Linked DNA regions of Pelodiscus sinensis. Each later gene encodes a partner of the first gene's protein in a complex. Links are inferred from orthologs where the notes say so. Each region holds a gene or a part of one and is shown in the gene's direction. Other genes may lie near its edges. The genes, in order: GDF11, FST and TGFBR1.

Region 1 (10,243 bases):
AGGACTCAGCGTGCAAATAAATCTCTTTTAAAACAAAAATCTTCCCCCCACCCCAAGCAAAAACCAGCCAATCCCTCAAGAATCCGGTGGGACCTTTGCTAACGGCTAATGAAACTGACCTGCCACGTACAGAGCTTACACTAACCCATTCACAGCCCGACTGGTCCCTCTTCCCATGTCCCCATGCTGCTTCTCACTGCAACTGCCCTGCCAAAGTGCTCTCCAGAGCTGGTCATAGAGAAAATTCCCAGTCCTCCACCCCTGAACTTCCCACGAGTTCACGCACACACAGCACTGGGAAGAGAACCCAGGAATCCAGAGCCCCCAGCTCCTGATGGACCCTCACCCACTGTACGCACACACACTGACACACAAGTTAACTGACTTTCTCCTTGCGCCTGAGGCTGGGGAGGAGCTGACAGAGTCACACGCCTGGCTGTGCCGCGCTGCAGGGAAGCCAGTGGCCCCAGCTGCACATCTCTGCTTTCCCACTGTCTCTCCGGCTGCCAGGCTCCCCGCCGATAATCACGACATCTCTTTTAGAGCCCCAGGAATCGCTTTGCTATGGCAGCCCACCTCTAGCTGCTACTGCCCATGGCCGGGGTGGCTTCAAACAGGAAAAACCTCCAGGCCGAAAGCAAAGCCTCTGGGCTGCTGGAGAAAAGGACCAGAATGTGTGAAAATCTGGCCCAGCAGTCGACGTGGTTGGCTAAGGAATGGCTCCAGCAGCTCCAGAATTGGCTGGGGCCACCTGGAATATTTCAGGGCACCCACAAGTCCAGATTTCACATGGAACCTGCTGGAGGGTTTAGCTAATTCCCCCGGGGAGCCATGCTCATAGCTCGACCTCCAGCCTTGGCCACTTGCAGATGTGGCTTTGTTTAGCCTCACCACCCCTCTACGGGGGAGGAAGTGGCTTTAGTTCCATCCTGTTGGTGGGAAACTGAGCCACATTGAGGTGCAGGGACTTGGCCAAGGTCACTCAGCCTAGGCCCAAAGCCTCAGGATAGAGCCAGGCCTACTTGCCCCATGCTGGCTCCTTGAGGAGCCAAAAAGACACTCACTGTGAGGCCTGCACTGGGCCATTGGGACTGTCTGTCACCCTTCTGGGCAGCGCAGGCCAGAGATCTGCCCCCAGCATGCACCCCCCCTTGCCCTGGCGCCAGCTGAGCTGGAGAACCCGCCCCGGTGCTGGCTCTGGGAGAACGGCGCCTTATTTCCAGTCTGGCTTCAGCCCTGGGAGCTCACATGGCCTCAGGGGCACGCGGAGACGTGAGCCAGCTGCCTCTGGACAAACGCACGGGGCCGTGCTCAGCCGCTTCCAAAGGGCCTGTTCCTGCTTTTACGACATCTGGCTCTCAGTCCCCCGCCATGCTGCGTATCCCAGCCCTTCCCTTCCACGGCTGCCCTCTGTCCTGCTCACGGCATCCACAGCTGCGGCCTGCCCCAGGTCCAGCCACCGCACACGGCTCTGGGTGTCCATCCGGCGGGGCCTTGCTGAAGCCAAGTCTGCTGATGTAGGCCCCAGGCGATTGCTCTCCAGGGTAATGCATGGCCCACGCCTGGCTCCGAAAGACCCATGGGGAGGAGGAGCTGGCCTGAGCCCCTGTGGACATTTAGGAGCCACCTTCCCCAGCTGGGGAGTCTTTTAGCTCAGGACACACCCTGGACCCTTTGCCCAGCGCTCGGTTCCTGGCCTTACGTCTCAGGCGATTTGGGATGTAAAAGGCTAGTGCCTGGGCTGGGAATGGTTCATGTGCAGCCCTCATTCCTCACCCCAGGCGCCTGCCTCAGTCTCTGCAGGTTCCTGCCCCAGGCACGTCTGCAGGACAGCTCTGGGTGGAGGTGGGAGGCTGGGGGGCAAGGGTTAGACAAGATCCCGGATGACAGAGCTGGACAGGAGCCTTTGGGGTCCAATAGTCTGTCCTTGGCTGGTGCTGGTCTGGGCACCTGTATCCAGGCTAGCTGGGAACGTCTCAGGAGATGGAATACAGCTCAGCACTAACCTAATTGTCTGTCTAAGCCCATGCACCCCCTCTATCTATGTATCCAGCCCCATAAGCTGTGTCTGTCCGTCCGTCCACGTCTCTTGCTTGTTCTCCCCTCATCTCCCTCTGTCTGTCTAGCTCCCTCTGCTTGACGCACGGGATAACCCAGTGCAGGCAAAGGGCCCCCGTCCCCAGGCCACCTTGCATCTGTGGCAGTGGAGTCCGAACAGCCAGATGCTCACGTCTGCCTTGTGGGGCCTTTGGCCCACGAAGCAGCCAGGCCTAGGAGGAGGGAGCAGACAGACCCACACCCGCAGGCACAGTCAGTCCATTAGGTTGGGCAGGACCTTTCCTGCCACTGAACATCTTTGCGGCTCCAGGCCCCCAGGACCTGGCTGCATTGGCCTGCGGAATGAATGATGCTGGTGCCCGCTGGCTCGTGGCGCTGGAGCTCATAGGCGGCTGGATTGAAGCTATTGTAAGACCTTAGGTTCAGATAGTTCCCCTCCCTAAGGCCTTAGCAGGGACAGGCCAAGGCTCCCTCAGCCAGGCCCAGTCCTCTGGGAGACCAGGCTGAGTGAGGCCTTGGCGCCAGATTCATCGCCCACCAAGGGATATTTTACTCAGCGATGCCCGGTTCCCAGGGGACGTGGCAGGTTCTGCTCTTGCTGGCTTCAGCGCCAGGCTGGAGGCCTTGTAGCCAGCCCCTGGGCTCGGGGCAGAGGGGCATGGCCTGTGTGTTGCACAACAAAATGAATGGGGCCTTCTGGTACGATCTGGGGCTGTGATTTGGATGGACGTCTCCGCGTGACTCCCATGCACCACGCTGCAGGGCACTGAGCCTGGGTACTCCCAGGGCAAGAGGCTGAGTCACTCCAGGGATTCACGGCTCCAGAGAGCGGAGCTATCGGAAGGCCCTTTCCACACCTCAGGCACGTGGCTCCAGGCAGGTAGGTCTGTGCCATGCTGATTCTCTCTCCATGGTTCTGATGGGGGCAGGGGATGCGAGGTGGGGGGTCTGGCTGGTGTTCCCAGCCCCTTTGAGGTTTCCAGCTGGGCCATATATGGGATACTAATAATCCAAGACAGGTGTCCGTTTGCCCCGGGCCTTTGGAGCCATGGCTCAGGGTGGGACCCTTCCTAGCCTACGTTCGAGGCGATGCTGAAAGGTGGCCCTGGGTTTGCTTTCTCCTGGACCAGATGTGCTGAAACATCCAGCAAGATCGCGCCAGCAGGTAGCTTTGCCCCTGGCTCTCCCAGGCGGGGACCAGCTGTGCAGCAGGGCTGGGCGGGCTTGTTACAACAGTGGATAAACGTCGGGGACCAAACGGTGGGTTACCTACCTCACCACCCCCAGGTGGGTTAGTACCAATAATAATGGCAAATAAAGACACCCCCTCCCCTTCCCCGCCACCAGCCAGGGCCTCTCTGCCCTGGTGCAGCTAAGACAAGAGGGAAAGGCCCTGAAAGTAGAAGTGCTCAGTGGTCACCCCCAGGGAAAGGAGCAATGTGCTTCCACTGCCCCAGCGGAGTGGATCCCAGGACCTGCCAGTCCTGCTGGGCGCCAGGGAGAGGAGCTTTGGGGATGGTGTGAATGTTTGATTGGTAACCCAGCAGTTTCTGCTTCAGACCGTGTCCATCCCCAGGGCCCTCAGACTGCTCCGCTGGGGCCCCCTGGCCGCCACAGCTTGTCCGACAGCCTGTCCCCAAACCAAAGGAAGCTGACAGGGACTCCTCTTTTTCTCTAGTCTGTCCTCCATCCCGAGATACTCCCCTCTGGCTGGCTGTCCCCAGACACTACCCATCCATCTCTCTGACCGTACACCCCCTCTAGCCATCCCCCCACTCACACCCCGGCCATCCCCCCACCTCTCTAACCATCCCCCCCACCTCTCTATCCATCCCGCACACCCCTCTAGCCATCCCCACACACACACCCCGGCCATCCCCCCACCTCTCTAGCCATCCCGCACACCCCTCTAGCCATCCCCCCACACACACCCCGGCCATCCCCCCCACCTCTCTAGCCATCCAGCACACCCCTCTAACCATCCCACCCCACACACACCCCGGCCATCCCCCCACCTCTCTATCCATCCCGCACACCCCTCTAGCCATCCCCACACACACACCCCGGCCATCCCCCCCACCTCTCTATCCATCCCGCACACCCCTCTAGCCATCCCCCCACACACACCCCGGCCATCCCCCCCACCTCTCTATCCATCCCGCACACCCCTCTAACCATCCCCCCACACACACCCCGGCCATCCCCCCCACCTCTCTAGCCATCCAGCACACCCCTCTAACCATCCCCCCCCACACACACCCCGGCCATCCCCCCCACCTCTCTAGCCATCCAGCACACCCCTCTAACCATCCCCCCCCACACACACCCCGGCCATCCCCCCACCTCTCTATCCATCCCGCACACCCCTCTAGCCATCCCCACACACACACCCCGGCCATCCCCCCCACCTCTCTATCCATCCCGCACACCCCTCTAGCCATCCCCACACACACACCCCGGCCATCCCCCCACCTCTCTAGCCATCCCGCACACCCCTCTAGCCATCCCCCCACACACACCCCGGCCATCCCCCCCACCTCTCTAGCCATCCAGCACACCCCTCTAACCATCCCCCCCCCCACACACCCCGGCCATCCCCCCACCTCTCTAGCCATCCAGCACACCCCTCTAACCATCCCCCCCCACACACACCCCGGCCATCCCCCCCACCTCTCTATCCATCCCGCACACCCCTCTAGCCATCCCCCCACACACACCCCGGCCATCCCCCCCACCTCTCTATCCATCCCGCACACCCCTCTAGCCATCCCCACACACACACCCCGGCCATCCCCCCACCTCTCTAGCCATCCCGCACACCCCTCTAGCCATCCCCCCACACACACCCCGGCCATCCCCCCCACCTCTCTAGCCATCCAGCACACCCCTCTAACCATCCCCCCCCACACACACACGGCCATCCCCCCACCTCTCTATCCATCCCGCACACACACCCCGGCCATCCCCACACATCTCTCACCCCATTCACACACACACACCCCGGTCATCCCCCCACACCTCTCTATCCATCCCGCACACCCCTCTAGCCATCCCCACACACACACCCCGGCCATCCTCCCACACCTCTCTATCCATCCCGCACACCCCTCTAGCCATCCCCACACACACACCCCGGCCATCCTCCCACACCTCTCTATCCATCCCGCACACCCCTCTAGCCATCCCCACACACACAGCCCGGCCATCCCCACACATCTCTCACCCCATTCACACACACACACCCCGGCCATCCTCCCACACCTCTCTATCCATCCCCCCTACCCCTCTAGCCATCCCGCACACTCCTCTAGCCATCCCCACACACACACCCCGGCCATCCCCACACACACACCCCGGCCATCCCCACACACACACCCCGGCCATCCCCACACACACCTTCTCCTTCTACCCGTCTCTATCTCTCTCCCCTCCGCCCCTCCCCGAGAAGAGCCGGGCTGGGAGACCTGGGGATTTCCCCGGGAGGAGTCAGTCGCTGGCTGCACTTTGCGCCCCTCCGCGGCGCATCGCATCGCCCCGGGCCTGTCACCCGTGACAGCGTCTCCAGCGCCCACCGCACAGCGCCGCCCGCGTCTCACCGGCCGGCCCTGCCCGTGGCAGCGGGGAAGCGGGGGGCGATTCCTGGGCTCGCCGGGTCCGGGAGCGGGCGGGGCGGGGCGGGGGTCCCTTCCCCGCGCGCTGGCCGCTCGTGCTCCGGGCCCCGGGGCTAAGGCAGGGAATGCCCGTGCCCGGGCCGGGCGGCAGCTCCCACATGCCGAGCGCAGCGGGGGGGCCGCAGCAGCCCTCGGGGGGAGGCTGAAGCCGGCCGGGGAGAAGGGGGCTCGGCGGCCGCGCCGGGCGCTGTGAAACCCGGAGCGCAACCCGCCCCCCGCCCCCACCCCCCCGCGGGCGGCCGAAGTTGCCGGGTGCGGCGGGCCGGCCCGGCAGCCCAGTGGGGGCGGGGGCGCCTGTTTCTTTAAGGGGCTGCCCGGCCGCCCCCTCCCCTGGCGAGCCGCTGCCTGGCGAGCTCGGGCCGTCTCGGCTCGGCTCGCTCCTGGTTCTCCTCCGGTGACAGCCCTTTCGCCAGAGGCTCTTTTGTTGCGCCCGCAGCCAATCAAGGCTTTTTACGACACAGTGGAGTTGGGATATAAAACCCCGAGTCCTCCGAGCCTCCCCCCCCCGGCCAGCACCACTAGTTTCGCCACCCGCCGGCTCCGCGCACCGGCCGCCAACTTCTGCCCCGGCCCCCCCGCCTCGCAGCCAGCCGCGGCCCGACTCCGAGTCCCGAGGCGGGGGGAGGCAGGAGGGGAGCCGGCCGCCCAGCCATGCCGGGGCGCAGGTCCTCGCTCTTCCTCTGGGCCCTGGCGCTGGCCGTGGCACTGGCCCCGGGGGAGGTGGTGGAGAAAGGGGCCGGCGGCGGGCAGCCCCCCCCGGGGCCCGAGGCGGAGGAGCCGGGCTGCCCGGTGTGCCTGTGGCGGCGGCACAGCAAGGAGATGCGGCTGGAGAGCATCAAGTCGCAGATCCTGAGCAAGCTGCGGCTCAAGGAGGCGCCCAACATCACCCGCGAGGTGGTGAACCAGCTGCTGCCCAAGGCGCCGCCGCTGCAGCAGCTGCTGGACCTGCACGACTTCCAGGGGGACGCCTTCCCGCAGGACGAGTACCTGGAGGAGGACGAGTACCACGCCACCACCGAGACTGTCATCAGCATGGCCCAGCAGAGTAGGTGGCTCCTTTGTTAGCGCCGGGGGGCCGAGGCGAACTTCGGGGGCCCCCCGAGCCGGCTGCGCGCCGCGAGCGGGGGGAGCTGCGGGCTCCTGCCTGCGCCCCTGGACGCGCGGTGCGGATCGGGGGTGGGGCTGGGGGTGCAGCTCCCGGGGGGGGGGGGCTCTTGGCTGCAGCCCCCCACCCCCCCAGGCCGGAGGAACCTGGCGCCTGCAAAGCCGAGGGTCCCGCCCCCGCGGGCAGGGACCCAAGGCCGCTCCGGGCGCCCCGCGGGGCTGCGGGCCGCCCGGCATTGTCTGCGGCCGGGCTCGCTTTGTGCCCGGCAAAGCGGCTGCCGCCGGGGCGAGCTGCGAAAGTTTGATCCGGTTCCGCCAGCGGCCCAGGCCCCGGGAGCGCTGCGGCCCCCCCCCCCCCCGCTATTCGCCAGGGACTCGCTCTGCCCAGCCTGGGGGGCGTTGAGCCTGCGGGGGGGGGGGGGGCTGGCAGCTTGGCTGGGGGCTCCGGGCACAGCCCCGCTTGGCTCCTGGGAAGTAGATGGGGGGGGGGGGTGCTCCAGTTGGCCGAGGGAGAAAGTTTGTTTGAAAGCATCGCCCAGCGAGAGCTGGTGCCTGGCAGGGGCTGGGGTCTCGGCTCCTCCGGATCCCAGGCACCCGCTCTCCCTCCTGGGTGGCTGGGGGCAGCTGCAGCCAGGCTCTGAAGGTGGCACCTTGGGTCTCGCCTCTCTGGCTGCACAGGGGAGACCCTCAGACCCCGAACAAGGCCGTTCTGGGTATCCCAGCCCTGTGCTGGCTGGTCCATGCGGGTGGGGCAGGGAGATGCACAGGTGGGGGTATGTGGGGAGATAGGACAGGTGGCACTGAGGGTATGTGGCGTGCATGTGGGGAGATGGGGCAGGTGGCCGTGTGGCTGATTGGATGGGGTGCCTGGCGGAGGGAGCTGCCCCACAGCGAGTAACCTGAACAGACCGTGAACCACACTTGAGAGGTGCTATGCCCAGCCTACAGCCTCGCCTCAGTCCGGGCTGGCAGGCCCTGGGCTCACAAGGTGCTGCCCATGCAGGAGCAAGGCTGCGCTGTAGCAATGAGGGCCTGGCGGCTGGCAGGACACGCAGCCAGGTGCCAGTCTTGGTTCGGGAGGGGCTGCAAGCCAGGACGTGTAGGAAGCAATCCTTGTAGTGTGAGCTTGTGTAAGTTATGTCACCGCCCTGTGCCTCAGTTTCCCCATCTGTGAGGCGGGAGCAAGGGGCCTCAGCAGAGCTGGGGAGCCCAGGGCTGGGTGAGGAGCGGGATGCAGGTCAGGAGGGTAGGGCACCGGCAAAGCTGGGCCAGAAGGGGGTTGCTGTGGGTCAGGAGTGAGGGGCCCTAGCAGAGCTGGCCTGGGGGAGCCAAGCGGGGTGACTGGGGAGTCTATCCGCTGTGGAACAGCAAGCGCAGCTGGGGTGAAAGGAGCCCGCCCGAGCGCTGGAGCCTGAAGGCCTCTGCCGTGGGAGCAGCGGGAGGTTGGACAGCAGCTGGGTGATGCCCGAGTCCTGGGGCTCGGCTCCTTGGCCTCCCCCCTCAGCCAGGCTGGTGCGCTGTGCAGAGCTGGCTGGGGCCTAGCAAAGGCGAGGTGCCTGGAGGTCACTGGAGAGCAGCCACTGTGAGATCTCTCTGCTCCTGGCACCAGCTGGGCCCTTTGCTGCCCCCGGCCAGAGCCAGGCAGCGAACAGCCCACAGGCTTGAGCTCCCCTGGCCTGCAGCTGCCCTAGGGGCAGGGGAGAGGCTGCTGCTGGCTGGGCTGGACTCATCCTAGGGATGCCCAGGGGTCCCAGCCTGTCATTGTCACCCAGTAACAGAGACCCACAGCCTGAACTCGGGGGCGGGCCTGTCTCCAAGGCAAGGCAGTCAATGCAACCTCCTTCCCTGACAGCGCTGCCACCACCAAGCTGCGGCCAAACACCGACCCCCCGGCCAGCCTGGGACAGGGCAGCAAGCAGAGGAGAGAGAACAGGGGTGGGCAAGATGGTAGGCAGGGAGGTGCAGGGAGGGGGTCGGGGGGCAGGTGGGTGCAGGGAGCTCTCAGACACAGCACGGGTGCGAGGGGTTGCACTGTAGTGACACAGATGCCTGGCCATGACTCTCCGAAAACAGCCTGTCTTGGGGGACCAAGGGGGTGGAGGGTTAAGGTGCCCTGAGGGGTGGGAGTGCAGGGAGGCAGGCTCTGTGGGCTGCAGGGTTAGTGACTGTGGGATTTCAGCCCTCGAAACGTCCGCGTCTCTGTCCCCTCCTTGTCCAAAGGCCCGAGTGGCCAATGCGTCGCTGGTCTCCAGGTCTCGGCTCTCCAGGGAATTTCACAGAGCACCAAGTGCCCGCCCCCGTGGCTTTGCCCACAGCGATCCAACTTGCTAGCTTGGTACACGGTGGCTGCTCATCCCTCAGTTGGCCACGACCCCTCTTCTCCATGCTGGGACTGCTCCTGAGCCCAGTGAGTACAGGGGTGGGAGTCACCCACAGTGCAGTCTGCGGGCGGGGGGCGGGGTGTCTGGATAACAGCATGGCAGGCAGGTGGGTGCAGGGAGGAAGCATCTCTTCTGATTGAGACTCACCACCAAGCTCCCGGCCACCCATGGTCTCCAGTCTTCCCCTGGGAGGCGGCCTCTGGGATTCAGGGTGCCAAGGCGAAATACCAGCTCAGGAAATCACTCTCCCTCCAGCTGAACGTAGGCTGGAGTGTGGGGCGCCTCTCTCCGACCCGACTGGGATAGGCCATTCCGTGTCCTCCGCACCGTGTCTTCCCTCCGGGAGGAATCCAATCTAAGCTAGTCCTTGGGATTGTGCTGCAGGGTAGCCAGATGACATGGCCAAGCCACTGTCCCCCTCTCTAGCTACTGAGACCAGATGCAGCTCTGCTAGGCCGGATGCACTCTCCCCAGGTCATCCCCAAGATTCTTCTTAAACACAGCTGGCGGGGTGCATGCAGCATCCTGTTGGTAACTGGACCCCCACCCACCTTTCCGAGGTGTACAGTGCCGCAGGCGTGATCTTGCCGTAGCGTGTAGATGGATCTTCTTACTCTTCCAGATGTTCGACAAAGGGGAGAATGAGCCGCAGGCTTTGCCAGTTCTTGTCTTCCCTGTGGTGAGCTGCTGTTAGCAGATACTGTGCTTCCAAGGCAAAGTAATCGACTCTTCTGTACGCTGCTCCAGCCACCACACCCCCGCCTGCGCTGGCCGCGTTCTCTGTCTCCGCGCTCGTGGGCTTTCACGTACTGACACCAAGTCCCACTGGTGGGACTGCTCAATGCGTTTCCGTTCTGTCCGAGTTGGTATGACCCTGGACTGTGTCATCAGGAAAAGCAGAGTCCAATAGCTCATCCCTGGCCCACAGGATCTGAGCAGTCTGTGGCAGTGCAGAAGGGGAGCTGCCTTGCCTCACAGCAGTAACAATATGAAACCATTCTGGGTCCCCGCTCTGTCCTGATGCAGGCT
Region 2 (10,589 bases), on another chromosome or scaffold:
CAGAAAGGGAAGGGGCTGATGCAAGAGACTGCACAGTGACTACTGAGGACAGCGAGTACAGGGAACAGCTATATTGCAGAGTGACCTCGGGGGCAACCACACCACCAAGAGAGTGGCCAGCACGAGACCAGGTAAGTGCCCTCCCCCCCCCCCCCCCCCCCCCGGCAACTTGGCTGCAGCACCAGAGCAGGGGAAAAGGGAACCCCACTGGCCAGCAGCCTCACGACCCCCCAGAGGAACCACAATCTCCACCTAGCATTGCAAGGCCACCAAGTTCACTGCCCTCCAGCCAGCTGTTTGGCCTCCCATTCTACCTCCCAGGCCGGCTATTTCAAAATAGCTTATTTTGAAACTTTACACATCCACACAGTGCCAAATTTCAAAATATCACGCTATTTTGAGCCATCCTTTAACCCTCATGCAACAAGGTTTACCGGGATGGCAAAACTGCACCCATTATTTTGAAAAATATTTTGAAATAATGGGCAGCTTGTGTGGACATGGAGTAGCTATTTTGGGATACCTCTGGGCTGTGTCTAGACTGACCAGTTTTTTGGGAAAATCAGCCACTTTTCTGGAAAAACTTGCCAACTGTCTACACTGGCTGCTTGAATTTCTGCAAAAGCACTGACTTCCTACTGTAAGAAATCAGTGCTTTTTGTGGAAATACTATGCTGCTCCTGTTTGGGCAAAAGTCCCTTTTGCGCAAAAGGGCCAGTGTAGACAGCTGAGATTTGTTTTGCGCAAAAAAGCCCCGATCGTGAAAATGGCGATCGGGGCTTTTTTTGCGGAAAAGCGTCCATGCCAGTCTATACGCTCTTTTCCGAAAATGCTTTTAATGGGAAACTTTTCCATTAAAAGCATTTCCAGAAAATCATGCCAGTCTAGACGTAGCCCTGGTGTCCTGAAATAGCTGTGCTGGGTAGATATACCCTTAAGCTGTGTCTAGACTGGCAAGTTTTTCCGCAAAATCATATGCTTTTGCGGAAAAAATTTCTAGCTGTCTACACTGGCCGCTTGAATTTCCAGAAAAGCACTGACGATCTCATGTAAGATCGTCAGTGCTTTTCCGGAAATACTATGCTGCTCCCATTTAGGCAAAAGTCTTTTTCCGAAAAACTTTTGCGCAAAAGGGCCAGTGTGGACAGCACAGTACTGTTTTCCACAAAAAAGCCCCGATCGTGAAAAAGTGCTTTTGCGGAAAAGCATCCTGCCAATCTAGACGTGCTTTTCCGAAAATGCTTTTAACGGAAAAGTTTTCCGTTAAACGCATTTTTGGAAAATCATGCCAGTGTAGACGTAGCCTTAGTGTTTAATATCTTACATCCATAAACTTTTTTCTCTCAGCTTTAGGAAAAAATAAATTGTCAATATCCTTGTCCTCGTCTAGTTAGAAATATAATTAAATTTCATATCAGTAGCATACAAGTATAAATTCTGTACACAAATTCTCACTCATTAAAGAAACAAATGAATTCTATCTTAAAGTACATCCAGTACTTGCAGAAAGTAATATTAGAACTTTGTTAAGACAATGTGAAGCTAAGCATTGTCTATTTTAACATGAAAATGGCCTGACCATACAAGACATTCTAAAAATGCACCCTTTCAATATATCTCTTTATGTATATTTTTCTGAGAAGCAGTTTGTGAAATTCTATAGCAAGTGTAAACTGTCCAGAGGTGAATCTCTCTACACTGAGAAAAATAAATTGCTGTCTAGTGTATAGTATAATGATGCTTAGAAAATTATTTACATATATATTTTTCAGAGAAAAGAACCTATTAACTAAAAGGTCAATTTTCAAAAGTAATTTTCAGAAAAAACAGCTAGGGGTTGAAAACTGACTGACTTTGTTTCCTGAGAGGAGGAGAAGTCAATCATCTCAGCACAGATACCATCTGATTTTGTGGCAGACCAAAATCAACTAGCCTAGAAATGTCCATCTGCAAAACAGAGTGAACTTGAATCCTTTTCCATCCCTCCCTTGAATTCTGGATAAAGATGTGGCAGGAAATGCTCCCACACGTGTCCACTCACAAACCAAACTCCTCCCCAAAACTTTTACTTTTACTGATTGAGGCCCCAGACTACCACCAACATCCCAAAAAAGATCTGTCACCCAAAATATTTGCTTCTGCTAGAAGAAAGGGTCGAGAGGTGACCTCTTCCCATTAGGGCTACATCTAGACTGCAAGCCTCTTTCAAAAAAGCTTTTTTCAAAAGATATTTTCGAAAAAGAGCGTCTAGACTACAACCAGTACTTTCAAAAAAGCAAGCCGCTTTTTTGAAAGAGAGCACCCAAGCAATCTGGATGCTCTCTTTCGAAAAAGCACAGTTTACATTACATAAAGCCTTTTTTCAAAAGATCACTTTCGAAAAAAGGAGTTATTCCTCATAAAACGAGGTTTTCCACGGTCAAAAAAACTGCCACGTTCCTTTGATTTACTTTCAAAAGAATGCAGCAGCAGTCCAGACGCAGGGGAAGTTTTTCAAAAAAAGGCCACTTTAAAAAAAACAAACAAACATGTAGTCTAGACACACCATAGGGTTATGTCTACACTAGCCCCCTAGTTCGAACTACGGTGGGTAATGTAGGCATTCGAACTTGCAAATGAAGCCCGGGATTTAAATATCCTGGGCTTCATTTGCATGTTCCCGGGTGAGCGCCATTTTTAAATCCCCTTAGTTCTAACTGACTGCCAGGGCTTCATTTGCAAGTTCGGATGCCTACATTAGCCACCCTAGTTCAAACTAGGGGGCTAGTGTAGACGTACCCTAGGAGATAAAGTCTGCTTCTTTATTAGGAAACTGGCCCTTGGCAGAAAGCATGAGAAAACTCCAAGACATTAATAAAATGAATACTTAGTGTCCACAACAATAAATGACAAAAAAATAGTTTGTTTAATAGTACATTTCACACAAAGTAAATCTGAAGAACTATTTTGTTCCTCAAGCAGTATTTTACTGCTACTGCTTCAGAGCCAGGCCAGTCAATATTTACATAATATTTGTGATATATAGATAGACAGATTTTGTTATAGCCACACATCTATTGTATACATCAGAGATATACCCAAGCTGCAAGAGTGTATGTGAATCTAAATCTGAATCTGAACTTTGCTGAAGCTTTATATCTTTGTATCTAGCATTTTAACTTAATTATATTTTTATTTGTATTTGGAGACTGGGGCCAGCTGCAAAATTTAGACCTAAATCCAAAATCACATATTAAAATTGATAAACATCTTGCAAAAAGATAGTTTTTAAAACTGACAGTGTCAGAACAACAGTCTTTTATGTCCTGCCTGACAATTCAGTTATAGAGTGGTATATGTTGCCAGTTCTGTAATTTATATTTACTTGTTGGCAAAACAAAGAAGTGGGGAGAAATGGTAAATAGAGGCAAACAGATACATGAAAAAAGTTTTTTGATTAAACAATGCATCTCTGACCTTTATCTGTATACAGACCCAATATTTAACATTTAAAAAAGACAATACAATTAAAGAAACAGCAGCTGTTTCTATGTGATGTCAGAAAACAGGTGGGATGCAAGTTTCCATGCCAGTGCAATCATATTGATCTCCTGATGATGCACATATGAAGCACATATGCAACCATTGTTGACCTATCATGCGACTCATTTCCAGGAATATGGCCAGATAATGCCCCAATATAATAAACAAACACTGTCTAGAATCAGTATAAACATTTTATCTGACAGATCAATAAAAATCCAAGGTGAAGCTGAAATAAAACCAACATGTGTCTGTATCACAAAACAAATACTGAGATCCCTATTCACAAGGGCAGCAGAAGCAGCAGCAATTTGTTGTTTCCCACACTGCCCTGCCAATGACCCCAACCCTGACCTGAAGGGGCCACCCTCACTTTGGTGAGAGGCAGTTCACTCTTGGGTCTGCCTGCGGGGGAGGACAAAATGCTTACTTATGTGAGTGGGGGTGATTTTATAATGTGGACTACTGGGTCCACTGGGAAGAAACTCAGATCCAAAGGTGCTGGAACAATTGTTTTAGTGGAGGTGCTTAGAACCATTGAACCAAACTGTAAATCCTGTATATAATTGAAACCACTTGAAGACAGGAGATCCTGCAGCACCTCCTGCATCCCTACTTCCAGCATCCTATGCTGAGACTCGCACCCCCAAATTCATGTTATGGATCTGAGGGACACTAGTGAAAGGTTTGTAGTACTCACCTCATCCCTACGGACATATACCTGAGAGAGAATCCTTGTGTCTTTATGAATGGTAGGAATGGGGAGTGGATATACACCCCACAAAACGTTCCAGGCCTATGACTCACCACATTTCCTGAAAGTTTTGTAACATTTCCTAACTAAGCAGAGGTGATATAAGGTTAATGTTGTACCTGGATTTTACACTGCTGTTTAACAAAACTGATGGGCCTGGGGAAGAGAGCATGTCTGAAGTTATCCACCTATTTTTGTTCCTTGGGCCTTGTTGAGGAGCACTGAGAGAAACTATGCTTTGCAAAGCATGTTACACCATAAGTATCAAAGCCAACCCCCTTTTAAAAGCAGCCTTTATCCAGGAGCTCATGAGTAAGGGATATTTGTTGTTAATTGTTAATGTCATCTGCCATTAGAGGGCACTAAACAACCCTGCATTAATGCTGGTTGAGAGAGAGAGAGAGAGAAAGAGAAAGAGGGGGCACCTATTTGAGGAACGCTTTAAAAGGGATGTGTAGTCCCAAAAAAGCTTCTGAAGTTATCAGAATGCCCCAAAGCTGCTCAGGGATGATCACAATAATAGTAACACAAATTGTAGCGAGGTCAGTTATTTACCAGTCTGCTTCTTAATGCGTGTGACTGCAGGTGGTGCAACGGGACATTGTGATTCATGCTCACTTTGAAAGCAGGACCAGGGCCCGGTCTGAGGCACCCAAACAACTGTCTTCTAATATTAGCACGGCTGTATTTCTGGATCTATTATAGTCTGTCCAGACAGATCCCATTGTAATGGGATCTTTTATTAAAAGATTAGCACTATCTCCTGCAGTTGGTGGAAAAAAATCTGTTATCACTGAGTTATTTGCAGTTGTGATGGGGGAGTAAGGAGAAAAGCTTGCAGAATAAAGAGGGGGGGAGTTACGGAGACTAGGATGGGGTGGGGAGGAATCGGTAGAACTTTCACATAAATCCCATTGACCTGGCAATGTCCAAGAATTTTGTCTGCATATTTTGCTGTCTGTTGTGCTTTGGTGGCTCTGAGCAGCAGCGAAAGAATCGAAATTAAAAAGCCAGCTTTTGAATAAACAATACCATTTTCCGTTAAGTAATCATTTTGTATAAAAGGAAATATCGCCTACTCAGTTTCATTCAGCGATGCCAAAAAATGTTATAAATGAGAGACCGCCAACTTTCTAAGGGGAGAATAATGCCAGACTGTGCTTAATAAAGTAGTGCTCTAGAAGTTCATTATCGATGTTGCAACCTTTTTGATTCTGAAAGGAGACCGCCTACGTCGCCCCCCTAATTCCGGTCTATACTGCAGGCGCTCCCAGTGAAAAGATTGTCACTTGCGCAAAACCATAGGTATTAAACTTTTGTTTGGTTTTGACCAGTCACAGGGAGGGAGGAGTGTGCGCGCCAAACACTTAACTACTGTTTGAGGTGTTGGGGTAAATTTATTATTAGTCACAGACAGGGAATGGGAATCACACACACACACCCCAACAGCAACAAAAATCGTGTCTTCCAAGAGACGTCATCAACTTTTGCTGCGCCCCAAAACTTCTAACAAGAAGCAAAAACATTTCCGCGCGCTGATCAGATTGTGTTTGTTTTCAAGTTCCTTTTGGCCACGATGTGGGGGCTAAAGGAAAGGATCACGCCTCTCCTTCCCCACAGAAGTGACATGGCTCTTGCTTTAGTCCTATGAATTGTGTTAAAGCCCCTAGTTCCTCTGCGTGCGCGCGTGCGCGCCTTCTGGTATTAATGACACAAGTGGATAGTTCTTTTCTCTCTCTCTCTCTCTCTAAGCTCTAGTTACCATTCTGTTTTTGCACTCCTTCCTGTTACTACGCAAAGAACTCCAGCGTTTCCCTCTTGCAGATTTGATGTGTATGTGTGTGAGAGAGAGAGAGAGAGAATGCACCTAAAACAGATAATTGGAAAGGGTTTCCAGAAGGTGGAAAATGTCACCTGATTCACAGCGAACTTTTTAAATCTCCCCACCCCCGAACACACACACATTAGGAGACCGCCCACCGCAGACAGCTAAGACCCCCTTATAGATTTAAAGAGAGACTGCATTGAGAGGCTGACGTTCATTCAATAGAGCGATCATAAGCAGACTGACTAGTGCTCTCTGTCTCTCTCTTTCTCTGCTCCACTTGATATTGTTTCTGCCTCTTTCACTCACGGGCATACTGAGGATGTTAAATCAGAGAATCCACCCGGGCGTGCTTTTATTCCTGATGCTTGTGTGCCACTTCATGGAAGATCATACCGTACAGGGTAAGATGAGATTATTTGTTTGCAGTTGTGTTTTATTTTCTGTCTTTTTCTCAATGTTTAGTTGTCTCCTGCGAACGCCTCTCTACAAGGGACCAGCTTAAGGAATAGAACCTCAACTTAACTGTGAGAGTAGGACCGCTTTGTACAAATGTATGGAGGTGACATATTTGATCGGCTCCACAAACGGCTGGGCATAGTACTGAGGAGGGATGGTGATGATGATTGTTATTTATTATTATTGTAAAGCATGAATGAACAGCAGCCACACACAGGAACTTTCTTACTCCAGCAGTCTTAAAGTTTTTGTGGCAATGGAGCTTAGATTTTCCTCTCGGCTGCTTTGGCTGCAAGGATGGTGAATTCCGCGATCACAAATGACATTTTCAGACGCTAATATTAGTCATTTTCCCGCTATCCTTTCAATATTCGTGTGACAGCCTCCCGGCCGCCCGTTCACATCCACGTTTGTGAGTGAATTGTGTTGAGCTATGAATTCTGCTGCACTAGCGAATGTGTTTAAATACATGTCCCAGCCGAGCAAAACAAACAGAAAATGTAATAGTTGTCTTTCCCAAATAATTATTGGGGGAGGAAGGTTCTTGATGCCGCTCCGTTAACAACCTGCATAACTTAGATTGTTGTTTTTTACTGAAGGTTGTTGGGTTTGGGGTTTTTTTTTCGCTGAGCTGGATGTATAGGTTAACTTTGTGAAGGCAACTAAAAGGAATTCAAAGCTGACTTCTAACAGTCTTTTGAGCCAGGAAAACTGATTTTCAAAAGGGTGTTGTTTATTCACTAATTACCTTTGGGGACGCTTCCCTCTACAGTCTCCCCATGTATATCGGTCTGAGGGACCGATCCTACATTCCTCTCCGGGAAAATTCCCAATGGAGTAAAGAGACAGGATCTAGCCCCTGCTGGATAAGTACCAGAATCAATTGCTTTTGAGTTGCTGGAGAAGTCACATTGGTTATTCACGAGAGGCTCATCCCAACCAAAACCCTCCAACTAAAAAAGGGGGAGTTGCTTGGACTAATGTTCTTGGCTTGAATCCATAAATAGCAGAGATACTAGTAAAACAAATCTCTATCCGATGTAAGTGCAGTGTTACTCTCTATGAAACTGCGTCTGAAACAGACGACATCTATAACTTTTTATCTAGTGGCCTCCTATTTCTGTGCCCCGGCATCTTGTTTACTTTGATCGCCCTTCTTTGGATCTCAGTTAATTTTCTTCAGCAAAGAAGAGACATTTCCTAAGGGAAGCAGCAACATTTCGAGATTTCGAAAGACTTCGCCAACAGGCAAATATTACCAATTTTTGCAGATTGTTAAAACGGCCTCGAATGAGACTCCGGGCAGCACTAGAACAGTGTTGTACAGCATTTTTGAAGAGGAAGAAGGGGGGAGGTGTCTGCAAGGGTGTTTTATTTTTATTCTTTTTTAAATACAGATCCTTTTCATACCTCTGTCACGTGCATGCAAGTCCCCATGGTCTACATATGGAATAAATACCTCCGAACACTGCCTTGTCCTGTTTCGATCGGGTTATTTAAACTGCGCTGCCTATTGCCCCAGAGTAGCTGCAGGTTATGAAATGGGACAAATAAAAGTAAACAGTCTAGTAAAAGTCAATGCAAGCCGCACGTGTTGTGTCTGGGTCACTGGTAACTGACATTGATATGGCTGGGTCTCGTTCTCCTTCTCGCTCTTGCAGCTGGGAATTGTTGGCTCCGGCAGGCAAAGAACGGCCGCTGCCAAGTCCTCTATAAGACTGATCTGAGCAAGGAGGAGTGCTGCAAAACGGGCAGGCTCACCACTTCATGGACTGAAGAAGACGTCAACGACAACACGCTTTTTAAGTGGATGATTTTTAACGGGGGCGCCCCAAACTGTATCCCATGCAAAGGTGTGTTTGCAAAGTGCTCCGAAACCGCAGGTGCAGGCACTGGGGTGGTGGGGGTGGCCGGGACAGAGTCAGCAGAGGTAGCAGTGTTTCCCTGTGTCGTGCTCCAATTACGATTTTAAAGTTCATCCCAGGAAGTAAATGCTCCTTGGGACCTGGAGTTAGTGAGAAGGGGAAGGGATGTAGCCTCTGCGTGGTCAAATATGATCCAGAATGATCCTTCTATTTGGTGGATCTCTCAGGACCCCACATTTTGTTTTCTGGCTGAAAAAAAAACAAACCTTGTTCGCTCCCTTTGTATCGTGGGATTGTCGGGGTATTTTGTAAACACTGTTTATCTGAAGTCTGATGAGCAGAGTAGGTATTAAAATGTTGCCTCTTTCGCCTCCTCCCCTTCCCCCTTTTAGAAACGTGTGAGAACGTGGACTGCGGACCTGGAAAGAAATGTAAAATGAACAAGAAGAACAAACCTCGGTGTGTTTGTGCTCCGGACTGCTCTAATGTCACTTGGAAAGGTCCTGTGTGTGGCTTAGATGGGAAAACCTACAGGAACGAGTGTGCTCTCCTCAAAGCCAGATGTAAAGAGCAACCCGAACTTGAAGTCCAATATCAGGGCAAATGCAAAAGTAGGTTTGCAAATCTAACCAAGTCCTCCCCGAATAATACAGGGTGTGTGTCTGAGTGTAGGGAGGAGGAGCTGACGTACTTCCCCACAATAACAAGATGTTTCAAATGCTGAGGGACAAAAAGTAAACCACGCTCAACCGACAAACCATAGCTGATTGAGAGTCCCCCAGAGTCATGCCGCGCTGTGTTCACACCAGCTTCCCTGAGATATGAAGGTTTTATCCCGTGGCTCTTTTTTTTATGAAAGAAGCTGCCGAAGACTTTGATTTTATCATTTCCTCGATTGTTTCACATATTCACTCCCAGTATGAACCATTGGATCGCCTGTTAATATGTTTCCGTCTTTATTTCAGAGACTTGTCGGGATGTTTTATGTCCAGGCAGTTCCACGTGTGTGGTTGATCAAACTAATAATGCCTACTGTGTGACCTGTAATCGGATTTGCCCGGAGCCTACTTCCCCGGAACAGTATCTCTGTGGGAATGATGGAATAACGTATGCTAGTGCTTGCCACCTGAGAAAGGCAACCTGCCTACTAGGCAGATCTATTGGATTAGCCTACGAGGGAAAATGTATCAGTAGGTATCAGCCTTTGGAGTGCTTATAGGGGAAGAGGGAATCGTTCTTCATAATTTGTTGTTTCACAGTTTAGTAGGCAGGTATCTGCATGCAGGTTATTTCCTAGAAGTGAATGTGTTGTGGACTCCTGCAGTTTTTACACAAACAAATGGGGGAAGTTTGCTTGAGTGACCCACACAAGATTTTGGGCACCAACAGGGAACAAAGGGTTCAATCCTTGATATCAATGTGAGTTTCCATACTATTTTTAATAGGAGCTGTAGTAAGGCCCTCAAATGTATTATGACTTGACAACATATCATAATAGATAAAAAATAGTCTTGCCATGAATGAAAGGACAGGATGAGATGACCAATCCTATGATTCTATGAACAGAGTAACACAGTCTCAACATTCAGATGATCTGGATTCTTGGAAACATTTGTCTTCAAGTGGTCTTGGCAAACGTTATTTAATGTCAGTCAGATGTAGTGATTAAGGAGAGGTGTTGTGGATTAAGATAAGAACATAATCTCAAACCACCCTGGTATTTTATACAAGGTCTAATTCTTAATAATATCATCACAATACGTGTGTGTTTTTATTATATGCATTTCAGGTAACTACATGTCTGAAAAATTATCTTTGCAAGTTAAAGATCTCACATCTATTTATTTTAATGACACAAACGACTATTTTATATGTTTAAGCTTGACAAATAATCAATGTAGAAATGTTTAATTAATTGTCCAATTGTAGACTTCCCATTAAAGTCACTGGGGTGAGTGGATTCCCATTGGTTTCAACCAGAAAAGGTCAGGTGTCATTTAGAATATGCAAATTTCATTCCAGCTTTCTGGGGCCAAATTCTGCTTACTTTGCTCCTCCCCTACTGCCCTCTCCCTTCCCCTGTCCACTGATTTCCAAAAGCACTATGTGCTTTGAGTAAAGTAAGCAGGATTTTACCTGTAAACTTCATATTAATTTTCCTATG
Region 3 (10,501 bases), on another chromosome or scaffold:
ACAGAGCTTCGGAGAAATGTTAAAAGGACAATATGAACTCAAATTTGTCCAAAATGTAATTGCAACCCATATGTCTCAGAATTGGGAACCAGAAAGTAAATCTAACTAGAAACGAAAGTGAACCTGTCTATGCTCTGACAAATGAAAAAAGGGAAACAAAAAAACTGAAATAGACACAAGATCATGGGATTTTAAAATTCTTTCAGTTTTAATAATTTAAGCCTCATCCTGCACTAAGCTATATGTCGTCACTTGGCAGACACTAGATTCTTGCAAAGCCTGACTGAAACCTTAGTGCCACTCATTTATGTTACCACATAGCTTTTCTTTACGTGGCTAGTTATTAGAGTTTGAACCCAGGAACTTCAGAGGTACAGCTCTGATCTTGTCTACTTGATCTGAATAAACAATTTGTGGAGAAAGTAGGCCATTAATCTTTGTGTAGGTCTAGAGAGATTATTTTACCTCTATTTGGCACTGGTGCAACTCCTGCTGGAATACTGTGTTCAGTTGTGATGTCTACCATTCAAGAAGGATAATCATACATTTGACAGAGTTCAGAGGAGACCATGAGAATCATTAAAGGATTAGAAAGCATGCTTTACAGTGACAGATTCAAGTTGCTTAATCTATTTATTTTAAGAGAAGATTAAGGGGCAACTTGATCACAGTTTACAAGTATCTACATGGAGAACAAATAATTGATAATGGATTCTTTAATCTAACAGAGAAAGGTGTAACGTAATCCAATGACTAGAAGTTGAAGCTAGAGAAAGTCAGACTGGAAATAAAACACAACAGTGAGGGAAAGTAGCCATTCAAACGATTTACCAAGTGTTGTAGTGCAATCTCCATAATTGGCGATTCTTAAATTCAGGCAGTCATTTTGAAATAATGTTAAAATTCTGTCAAGATGGAGGCCGTCTTACTCTGACTCCTGTAACCCTCATTGTACGAGGAGTAAGAGAAGTCGGAGGAAGAGTAATCTGCTTCGAAATAAGAGCTGTGTAGATGGTGCCAGTTTCAAAATAAGCTATGCAAGTGATGTAGCTCAGTTTGTACAGCTTATTTCGAGTTAAGCCCTGCTGTGCACTCTCACTGGCTCTACTGCTTAGGGATTCACTTGCCAGCACTCACAGTGGGTTCTGCTCTGTCCCTCTCCACCAGCTGCCCAATTGCTGTGCCTTTCTGCTAGCTGTCCTGCTGGCTGATTGCCCTGCCTCTCCACCAGCCATCCTACTGGCTACTTGCTTCACCTCTTTGCTCGCTGCACCCCCTGCCAGCCATCCTGCTGGCTACTTGCTATACCTCTCTGCCAGACACTTGCTCAGATGTCTTCATGCTTAACACAGTTCTCCATGATTTCAGCTGAGGTGGAGGAGCCTCACTGCCAGTACACTGAGTAGTCCCTTGTATTACACTGTCTCAAAGCAGGTCTAACACTTAGACCTAAGTATCAGTGATTTCAGTTCTGCAGCATGTAATAAGACACTCAACTGAGTCTAAATTAGCACTGTTATAACACAATTGGGAGACGGAGAATGTGATGGCATCTAGGGTTTTCACGCAGGACTCACACTCCTACGCATGCATAAGTGTGTGTGTCATGTGGTTGAGTTGAGGGTGAATCTGTCAGTCAGAAAATGCCAAGTACAGTTCTGCTGCTCTTGATTTACACAAGGATAACAACCCTGTATTATTCGTGCCCCAATAACAAGCAGACTGGGGATCCCACACCAACCAAAAGTGACCATATGGGCATGCAATCCCATCATACTGAGCACCTAAGCAGGGTGGGTGTACTGAATATCAAACAATATCAGCTCCTGAAGTCATCACTAGATGTGAAGGGAGAACTCATTCAGACTCTGTGTACATTATAAAGAAGAGGAGGATGGGACAGAGAGGTTGTTGCTCAGGAATGTAGGCAATCAGAGTGAAGTGGGGGAATGAGAAGCTATAACGGAATAGTAAGGGCTTTTTGGTTTTGTTTTGGGGTTTGTTTTTTTAAAGATTTTAAGCAGCAGGAAGCTTGAATGAACTTGATGAGGATTTGAGACTTTTTTGAGAATTATTTTATTTATTGTAATGAAGTCCAGACCAGAGGTAGAATTCCTGATAACGTATATTAACTGAATGAATCCCTGGTTGTTCAGAAGATATCGTATTTTAAAGTAAACACTAGTCTTCGACACCAGACAGAAATGTAGACTAAGAGATTTTCAACATCCAAACTATCCTGGCCAAGACAAATCCTGCTTTAATTTGATCTTGTTCTGACCTGTTGAGACTCGACTATATTGTACTTAAAGTAACTCAGTAATGAGCAATCCCTGCTAAGAAAACTAGGACTCAGCCCTTTGTCCCAGCCATACTGAAGAAATACCAGGTTGGAACAATTTCACTCTAGCTTCAAAATACTCTAGTCCATATAGTAAAGATGCAAGTTAGATGTCTTGTATGCATGTATTGCAGTGGCTGTCACTCATTCTGAAGATCCTTTACTAAGGCCAAGATTTTAAAAAAATGTTATGCCAAATTACTTATGGTAAAATTATATAACAGACATATACCATTTATAGAACAAAAAGACAATACCCAATGGAGAACTTTGCTCTCCATCACAATAACTGATACATCTGGGATCCATCAGGCACAATTCTAAGCAACTTGTAGATCTGAGACACCACCTCACAAATATTCTATCACTAACATGCCTCTGAAAGTTTAAATATCATCCATTTGCCTAGCTCCTTGTTAGTTTCAGCACTGTAGGACCTTTAATCTCTGTAGTAAATCACAGAAAATAGATTTGCTAGACACCTGGAACTGTAGTCCTAAGAGGTTTTCTAGACTAAAGTAGCATCTTGAATTGCACCCAGAATCAAATAGGGAACTAGTGTTGAAGTGCTGGAGCAATATGTTCTCATTGATAAATGGCATGTAGTAGCTGCACTCTGAACCAGCTGTAGAATCTTCAAGAAATCCACCAGGTAGAACACATTGCATCAATCCAATCTAAAAATAACAGCATGAATTACTGTTATGAAACTCAAACATAAAGGTTCTCTTTGCCGCTGACTCAGAATAAGCACAGCTGCATGTCTTGAGTGCAGACATTGCTAGGTAGCAGTGCTAGGACAGGTGTGATGAATTAGATATTTCTGCCAGTAAAAAGGAGGTTTCTCCTCTCTTCCTCCAAGTTATAATCCTAATTTACTGTCATTAGGAATTAGTACTGATAGTAGGTGAGTGTATCCTTCTTCCTTCCATTATTGATTCTCATATTGTTGTATGAAATGTTGTTGTTAAAACCATTTAAAAACCAGGTTGAACGAAGCTTTTAAAAACAAACAAAAACTCAATATAAAAAATCTCTGACTTTGATCAGGGTTGATTGCTGGTTTTGCTATACCTCTAAAAAGCTCAGATGCACCAATCAGATTTGAGGCCCCTGCAGTATTAGTCCCAAACCTCACTATGGCTTGTTAGAGATGTGGATCCAGGCTCTTGGATAATGGCCAAATCAATCCAGAACTTAAGAGTCAATGTAATAGGATCTATGAGAACTCCTCCTTCCTAAAAGCTATTCTGGTTGTTCTCTTTCAGTCAGAGATCTCCCTGTCTTCTGCACTTATTTGATTGAATTCAACTATCACAGGAAAGCTTCAAATGTAATAAGCTTGCCAAATGCAAGAAAGGTTGTTCTCTGGTTACTATTACTGGGGAACATACAAACTGCGCTGCTAAGAGGCCAGAACCCAAAAGGCGGTCTTATATTCCTATGGGATGTACACACTATGGTTTGCTCTTCAGAGATTCTAAAATCATAGTTAAAAGAGTGTGGGGGAAAACTACCTTGTCTTGAAAACTGTGCTTCCAGCATTGACCTGGCATTGAGCCAGGAAGTCTGGCAACCTGTTACTGAGATTGCTTTTGACTGGATGGTGATCCAGACGACTTATAAGCTATATCCAATAGGACAGAAAATGTTCCCCACTCACTCTAGAAAGGTTGCCCTTCACCTTGGTCAGAATTGCAGGATTACCACAGACACATAAACCCTTCAAATGGATAGCTGGAATTAGATCCCAAGCACTTCCAGGCTTTCTTAAGTTCAGCATATTGGTCTCTGTCTCCACTACCCCTCCACTTGCTAACTGGACTGTTTGAATACGTCTGTGACTTGACATCCACTTTGGATAGATAGTGTACCTGAACTGGAATAAAATGAAAATGTAATTCAGTACAGGCAGTAACAATGGTGGAAGCAAAATGCTTAGGCCCTAGCTATGCTAAAGCTTTTAACCTTTATATTGCCAAGAGAGTTATAACCAACACTGCTTGTAAAAGCTTACAATCTCTGCTTTCAATGGTATAAAGCATTAAACTTGCATACAATGTATATGCAGATATCAATCTCTACAGTAGTTTGATTATAGAAATTTATCGGCTCAAAGCTGAAACCCAAGACTGTAAGCTTGAGTGGCTTACTAGGTACAGAGCAAGGATCATTATAGGCTGTCAAATACAACAAGCTGGTTAGCTGCAGACTTAGCATCTTAGGGTATGTCTGCAGTGTGGTCTTCTACCTTTTTAAGCACAAGATCATTTTTTGAATGTAAGTGCAATCCAAGATCTACCTCAAACCCAAATACCCTTGCCCCACCTCCTTTGTGCTCCTTCTCCAAGGCTCCCACCCCTGCTCACTCTATACTCTCTCCCTCACCCTCCCTCACTTTCACCAGATGGGGGCAGAGGGTTGAGGTGCAGGCTCCGGTCTTGGATTAAGGGATCTGGAGTGTGAGATGGGCTCTGAGCTGAACCTGGGGCAGGCAGTTAGCGTGCCTGAGGGGGTTCTAGGTGCAGACTCTGGGATGGTGTTTGGATGTAGGGGTACTCAAGGCAACGGCAGGGGCTTGGGGTGCAAGAGGGGCTTCATGACTGGGGTAGGGTTTCAGGATGTGGGTACCAGCTGGGCACTGTTTTCCTCAGGTGGCTCCTGGGTGGTGGTGCAGTAGGGTTAAGGCAGGCTCACCCTGCATTGGCACTGCACCACTCCCAAAAGCAGCCCACAAACTCGCTCCATCCCATGTGCATTAAAATAAAATGTGGCAAAATCAAGCACCTAAATTAGTCTATAAAGTCAGAAGCTTGATTTCTCCTGTTAACTTTAACAGGAGAAATCAGCACACTGGATGGCTACGTCTAGACAGGCATGATTTTCCGCAAATGTTTTTAACGGAAAAGTTTTTCCATGAATAGCATTTGCAGAAAAGAGCGTCTAGATTGGCACGGACACTTTTCCACAAAAAGTGCTTTTGCGGAAAAGCATCCGTGCCAATCTAGATGTTCTGTTCCGAAAATGCTTTTAACGGAAAACTTTTCCGTTAAAAGCATTTCTGGAAAATCATGCCAATCTAGACGCAGCCTCACAGAAACATAGCTATAGGGCCTGTACGTGGTAATACTCAAGTGGCTAGACACTATAGCATTTTCAAGGCAAATTTAAGAATGCCTGAGAATTGGCCACTGTTTTTGGTTCAATGGTGCAAGTGCATTTGGTGTGTCCTAATTGTAACCTTACCTGGTGACTTCCATACTTGAAGATTTAGAAACTATTGGGTGAGTGAACAAGAAGCAATGGGCCTAAATTGCAGCAAGGGAGGTTTAGGTTGGACATTAACTATTCTAACAGTAAGTTTTTCCTAATCTTTGGAATAAATTGCCTAGAGAGGCTGTGGAATCTCCATCACTGGAGATCTTTAAGAGCAAGTTAAACACCTGTGGGCTAGATGGTGGCTGGTGTTGCAATGAGTGCAAGGTACACGAGGACCTTTCTAGGTCCATTCCAGTGCTATGATTAGGCATGGCTACAAGGACTTATTCAGGAATTTCCTTGCTTTCTGTCAATCTGATTTGCTGCATGAGAGGAAAAACTCTCAGAGTACTGTCTTGTATAGAGAAGGTGTGAGCACTGGGTGTGCACAAATCCTCCCTCCTCCAGCACTGTTGAGCGTTTTACTACCAAGGGCACCTTCCAACCCTGCTTCCTCGGGCGCTGCCGGCTCTATCTCGGACACCTAGTTACTTAGCTCCTGCGGCTCCGCTACCAAGTAGCAGGCCCGGCTCTGGCACCCTTGCAGCACGCTGCAGGCAGAGAGCGCCCCCCGCCTCACTCAGCCCGCATGAGCGGGATGGAGAGAGAAGGTGGAGGCGTCTCTGTAGCGTCCAAACTCTGCTGGAGCGCGAGGCGCCCCAACCCCCGCGCGTGCCCTGCCCCCCAGGCCCACAACGGAGAGAGCTGCTGGCCAGACGCTGCCTTTTGTCCACGCGCCAGTCCAGGGGAAGGGAGACGCAGTGCGCTCAGCCACCTCCCCCGTGTCACTCTCCCCGCCTCGCGCTCACCCTCCCCACCGCCACGCCCACTTGGCCTGGCGCCGAGCCGGTTGTATTTCTCCAGACTCTTGTTGTTGTTCAGAATGTCTGCAGCCGCCTGGGAGGCGGGGCTACGGGCCGGAGCGGCCAATCAGGAGGCGCCTGCGTGTCAGTTACATTATAAAGTGGCCGCAAGGGCGAGTGTGAATCGGAGAAGCGGCGGCGCGAGGCTGAGCCCGGGCGCGAGCGGGCAGCGCCATGGAGCTAACGGCCCCTCCGCGGCCAGGCTGGGTCTTTCTCTCGCTGGCGGCCGCGGCGCTGCTGCTCCCGGGGGCGGCGGGTGAGTAGCGGCCCCGGGGGCGGGGAGGCGGCTCCGCGGGTCCCCGCCGGCTCCTTTCAACAACATGGCGCAGGGGCCGGCCGGGCGGAGCCCGCGTCCCTTTGTTGGCCGAGTCCGGCGGCTCCGGGTGCGCGCGGAGCAAAGGCGCCGAGGCTGAGGAACAGCGGCCGGGCGGCGGCTGCCGGACCCCCCCCCCCCCCCCCTCCTCGCGCCCGGAACAGGGGGTGGAGCGGGGAGCGCAGCGGGTCCGGGAGCGAGGTGAAAAAGGCACCGAGCGCGCCCGCCCCCTTCCGGCTGTGGCACCCGCTGTCTGCGCCCCTGGTCCCGGGGCAGCACCACGAGCTCTGCGCCGCGCGTGGCCCTCGCCTCCGATCGTGTCCCAGCGCCGCCGCGCACGGCCGGCTGCCCCCAGCCGCTGGGGTCTGGTCGGACCCGGTTTTCTTCTTCTGCAGCCGGTTGGGCTGTGAGCGCGCTGGAAGTCGCCTGGCGCTAGCCGCTCTCGCGTTCCTCGTTCCCGCTAGTGATCTGGGGCTTGCGTGGCTGGACAGACCCTTTAACCCTGATACACAGAGACTTGCGCCAGTCCGGATAAAATGTCGTTCCTTAAAACTTCCGCTTGCAGTCCCAGGTGCCCGGTATTCGTAACCGAAATGGGGGAAATCCCAATATGTGCTGCAGGCTTATGGTCACAATGTAACTGTTCCAGTGTTCTTTACAAATGTAAGGGTGGTGGTGGTGGAGGGGAGAGAACTACATGTTGAATGTTCCAATTAGGTAAAGCGCAAAAAAACCCAAAACAAATCTCCCCCCCACCCCCCCAAAAAAACCACTTTTTTTTCTTGAGTCTCCTGAAGTAAGAAGCCACTCGCTCTAGTTGAGTTGGGCGCCAACTTGCAATATGCTGGTATTATGTACTCTGTGATTAAAAACTGGCCTGGATGATTGCTTAGATTAAATGCTGTTTAGGTTGTAAATCTGCATTGTATTTAAGCACCTTATTGTTATACCCACTAGTATACAAAATACACATTTATAAATAAGGGCAGCATATTAGAATGTTGAGTTAGTTCTTTCTACCCCAGCAAAATCCTGCAGTTAATCTGATGTCAAAACATATAGGTTGAAGTGTGTTGCGGGAGTTGTTTGTGACTTTGGGCAACTAAGAACAGTAACACAACTGTACCTTCAGTTCTCCAAATAACGCAGGATATGTTTGGTGGTAGGACTTAGTAATATGTCCTAATACATTAATAAAGGAGATGAGCTTTTGTGAGTAAAAACCCACTTCATCAGACGAGTTGGAATTCTGTAAATTCCACTTAAATGGGATTTTTACCCACAAAAGCTCATAACCTAATAAATTTGTTGATCTCTATGGTGCCAGAGGACTGCTCATCCTTTATTAATGTTAAACCAAACATCTATAAACCTGCTTAGTTACATAATCTTTGGGTATGCACATCTGTAATGCATCAAATTATCATAAACACAGAGGAATATTATTGTGTATGTTATTGCTTACTCTTTTGCCCAAAAGATAAAGCAAAATAAATACAGAATGTATGCAATATTAGAAGTAACTTTTGTTTCAATTTAAGAAATAAGTGTAACTTGGGAAACTGCAATACTTTTCTCTTGCAGTCAGTGTTAGATGATATGTGACTTTGAGACCTGGTATAGATAAAGGTTTTTTTTTTTTTTTGGAGGGGGATGGGTTAAGATGAGGCAGAATACATACATTCATATTTAATACATCTCTGATCTCTCATTAGAGAATCTTGGTAATCCGATAAATATTTGCTTAGTGAGGAGGGGAGAGACATCCTTTGCATGGGGAAGCAGAATAAGATTGTCTGAAATTTTCAAATTATTTTAAATCTTTTCAAGACACCTTGCTATTTCCTTAAAGGAAATCAGAAACTTTTAACAGAACTAAAGGTGTCTCTTTAAAGTTTAACTTTCTTCTACTTCACAAAAACGCAGAGGAAAACAACAGTTTTACACGTGAGCTACCTCGTTAAAATAATGCAATATGAGGTATTGTTTTCTCTGGTACAAACGCTGTCTTGGGAATAGTTAAGTGTGAACTGTGAAGTTGGATGACCCATTTCTTGGCATCTATACTACAGAAACAATGTTTCTTTCTCTTAAGTTGGAACCCTCTGAGTGTCTTAATTTTAAATTTTATCAAATTATAGTAATAGCTCATAAACAAATTCAGTACTGTCTCAATTCTGTATTGCTTCTTTAGGGAAAATGCATTTTCAGTGGAAGTTTGCCAGAGAAAGGAGTATAAAATGTCCCATTCTGAAAGTTGTCCTATATATGATATACCTAGGATTGTCAATTTAGTCATTTTATGACATTGAGTAAGTAATTTTTTGTAACTTATAAATACCTTTATTGCAGAATGGAGTGTGGTGCATCTTGGAGCTGTGCAAAAATCTAGTCGGGCACTGCTTTGTGTCTGAGCCCTCCTGTGGTATCCAACTTCCTTTTGTGCCTTTTTCCAACTGCCATTCTTTGCTGTACACCAGTGTTCCTGGTAAGCTGAGTGCTTGTGTGGCCACTCAGGAGAGAGATGAATACCATCAAGTTGATTAGTGGAGTGCCCGTAGCTAGGTGTTTTTCTACTGGTGGTGCATATTTGCATATGCTTCAGCGCACATAAACATTTATTCTGCACATAGATGCAGAAGCTTAGAGGGAACACTGGTGCACTCCAGCATCTGCAGAGAGACAGATTGGATCCCTCATTTTTCTCTTAAGTTCTATCAAGTTTGTGATGACATCATGCATGGCAATGCAGTTAATCGTGAAGTTACTGGCCGAGGAAGATTCATAGTCATCTGCCATTCTTTGTGATATGAACAGCAGCAACTGAGCACTGCTTCTAGAAATTGTGGAGCAATTGCATAGGGTAGACTTGCTTTTGGGCTAGAGAAACCAGCACTTATTGGTGGGTTCACGTTGTCATGCATGTGTGAGATGAAGAGCTATAGAATTTTAGGATGCATAAAATAACCTTCCCAGAGCTGTATGCTGAGCTGGTCTCTTAATTGTGGCACAATCTCACCAGAGTGAGTTGCCTTCTCAGTAAAGAAACGTGGCAGTTGCTTTCTGGAAGCTGGTGATTCCAGACTGCTACCAGTCAGTTGCAAATCAATTTGGAGTGGGGAAGTCTGCCGTTGTGCTGTTACTGCGAGTGTACAGGGCAATAAATCACATTCTACTACGGATGACCATGATTCTGGGAAATGTGCATGAAATAATGGCTGGCTTTGCAAAGGAGTGCTTCTGGAATTGTGGCAGAGTGATAGATGGCACATGCTTCAACGTTAATGTCCAATTTTGCAAAAGACTACATCAGTAGGATTGGGAACTTCATGGTGTTGCAGGTGTTTGTGGATCACCCAGGCTTTTCATAGACCAAGTGGGGTGGTCTGAAAAGAGGCATGATGTGTGCATTTTCAGGAACTCGGTCCTCGCTTGCAGCTTCCTGAACAGGACACTTTTCCCGGACAAGATTATAGTGGGTGTGTGGAAATGCCTGGGAGACCTGACTTATCCCTCTCCTCCCTGACACAGGGCACCTGGACAATAGTAATGAGTGTTTTTAACAGGCTGAGCATGTGCCATGTGGTAGTCAAACATGCCTTTGGCAGTTAGATGCCTCCACCATGACTTCAGTGACAGGCTAGACCTTCTTGGGGAATAATATTCCCATGGTCCTAGCCATGTGTTACACTTTGAATAACCTGTGTCAATCTAAGGGTGAAATGT

What was found.
Region 2: the proteins of GDF11 (region 1) and FST are in contact, whole or in part, in a crystal structure (PDB 5JHW), measured with the Homo sapiens proteins. The link is inferred for Pelodiscus sinensis from reciprocal best matches to the Homo sapiens genes GDF11 and FST. Residues at the interface, in NP_005802.1 of Homo sapiens: Asn299, Leu300, Gly301, Leu302, Glu310, Arg312, Asp328, Trp329, Ile331, Ala332, Lys334, Arg335, Tyr336, Lys337, Tyr347, Met348, Phe349, Met350, Pro354, His357, Gln361, Ile380, Asn381, Leu383, Phe385, Asp387, Lys388, Gln389, Gln390, Ile391; in NP_037541.1 of Homo sapiens: Leu34, Arg35, Gln43, Val44, Leu45, Tyr46, Lys47, Thr48, Arg60, Ser62, Asp72, Asn73, Leu75, Phe76, Met79, Ile80, Leu134, Asp135, Arg149, Gln153, Pro154, Glu155, Val180, Val181, Asp182, Gln183, Tyr188, Val190, Thr191, Asn193.
Region 3: the proteins of GDF11 (region 1) and TGFBR1 are in contact, whole or in part, in a crystal structure (PDB 6MAC), measured with the Homo sapiens proteins. The link is inferred for Pelodiscus sinensis from reciprocal best matches to the Homo sapiens genes GDF11 and TGFBR1. Residues at the interface, in NP_005802.1 of Homo sapiens: Phe322, Ala324, Phe325, Gly326, Trp327, Trp329, Ile330, Met382, Tyr384, Phe385, Asn386, Asp387, Ile392, Ile396, Pro397, Met399; in NP_004603.1 of Homo sapiens: Ile78, Pro79, Asp81, Arg82, Phe84, Ala87, Pro88, Ser89, Ser90, Lys91.

Annotation. Positions count from the first base shown.
Region 1 is NC_134729.1:4,525,038-4,535,280, reverse strand, and holds the start of GDF11 (growth/differentiation factor 11), read left to right. Parts: upstream 1-5,952; 5' UTR 5,953-6,380; coding exon 6,381-6,774; intron 6,775-10,243. UniProt on the Homo sapiens protein: Secreted signal that acts globally to regulate anterior/posterior axial patterning during development. May play critical roles in patterning both mesodermal and neural tissues. It is required for proper vertebral patterning and orofacial development.
Region 2 is NC_134716.1:98,251,023-98,261,611, reverse strand, and holds the start of FST (follistatin), read left to right. Parts: upstream 1-6,031; 5' UTR 6,032-6,423; coding exon 6,424-6,505; intron 6,506-8,221; coding exon 8,222-8,413; intron 8,414-8,817; coding exon 8,818-9,036; intron 9,037-9,390; coding exon 9,391-9,615; intron 9,616-10,589. UniProt on the Homo sapiens protein: Multifunctional regulatory protein whose primary function is to antagonize members of the transforming growth factor beta (TGF-beta) superfamily including activin, myostatin, GDF11 or bone morphogenetic proteins (BMPs).
Region 3 is NC_134712.1:146,263,747-146,274,247, forward strand, and holds the start of TGFBR1 (TGF-beta receptor type-1), read left to right. Parts: upstream 1-6,548; 5' UTR 6,549-6,636; coding exon 6,637-6,718; intron 6,719-8,969; exon of another isoform or gene 8,970-9,077; coding exon of another isoform or gene 9,078-9,087; intron 9,088-10,501. UniProt on the Homo sapiens protein: Transmembrane serine/threonine kinase forming with the TGF-beta type II serine/threonine kinase receptor, TGFBR2, the non-promiscuous receptor for the TGF-beta cytokines TGFB1, TGFB2 and TGFB3.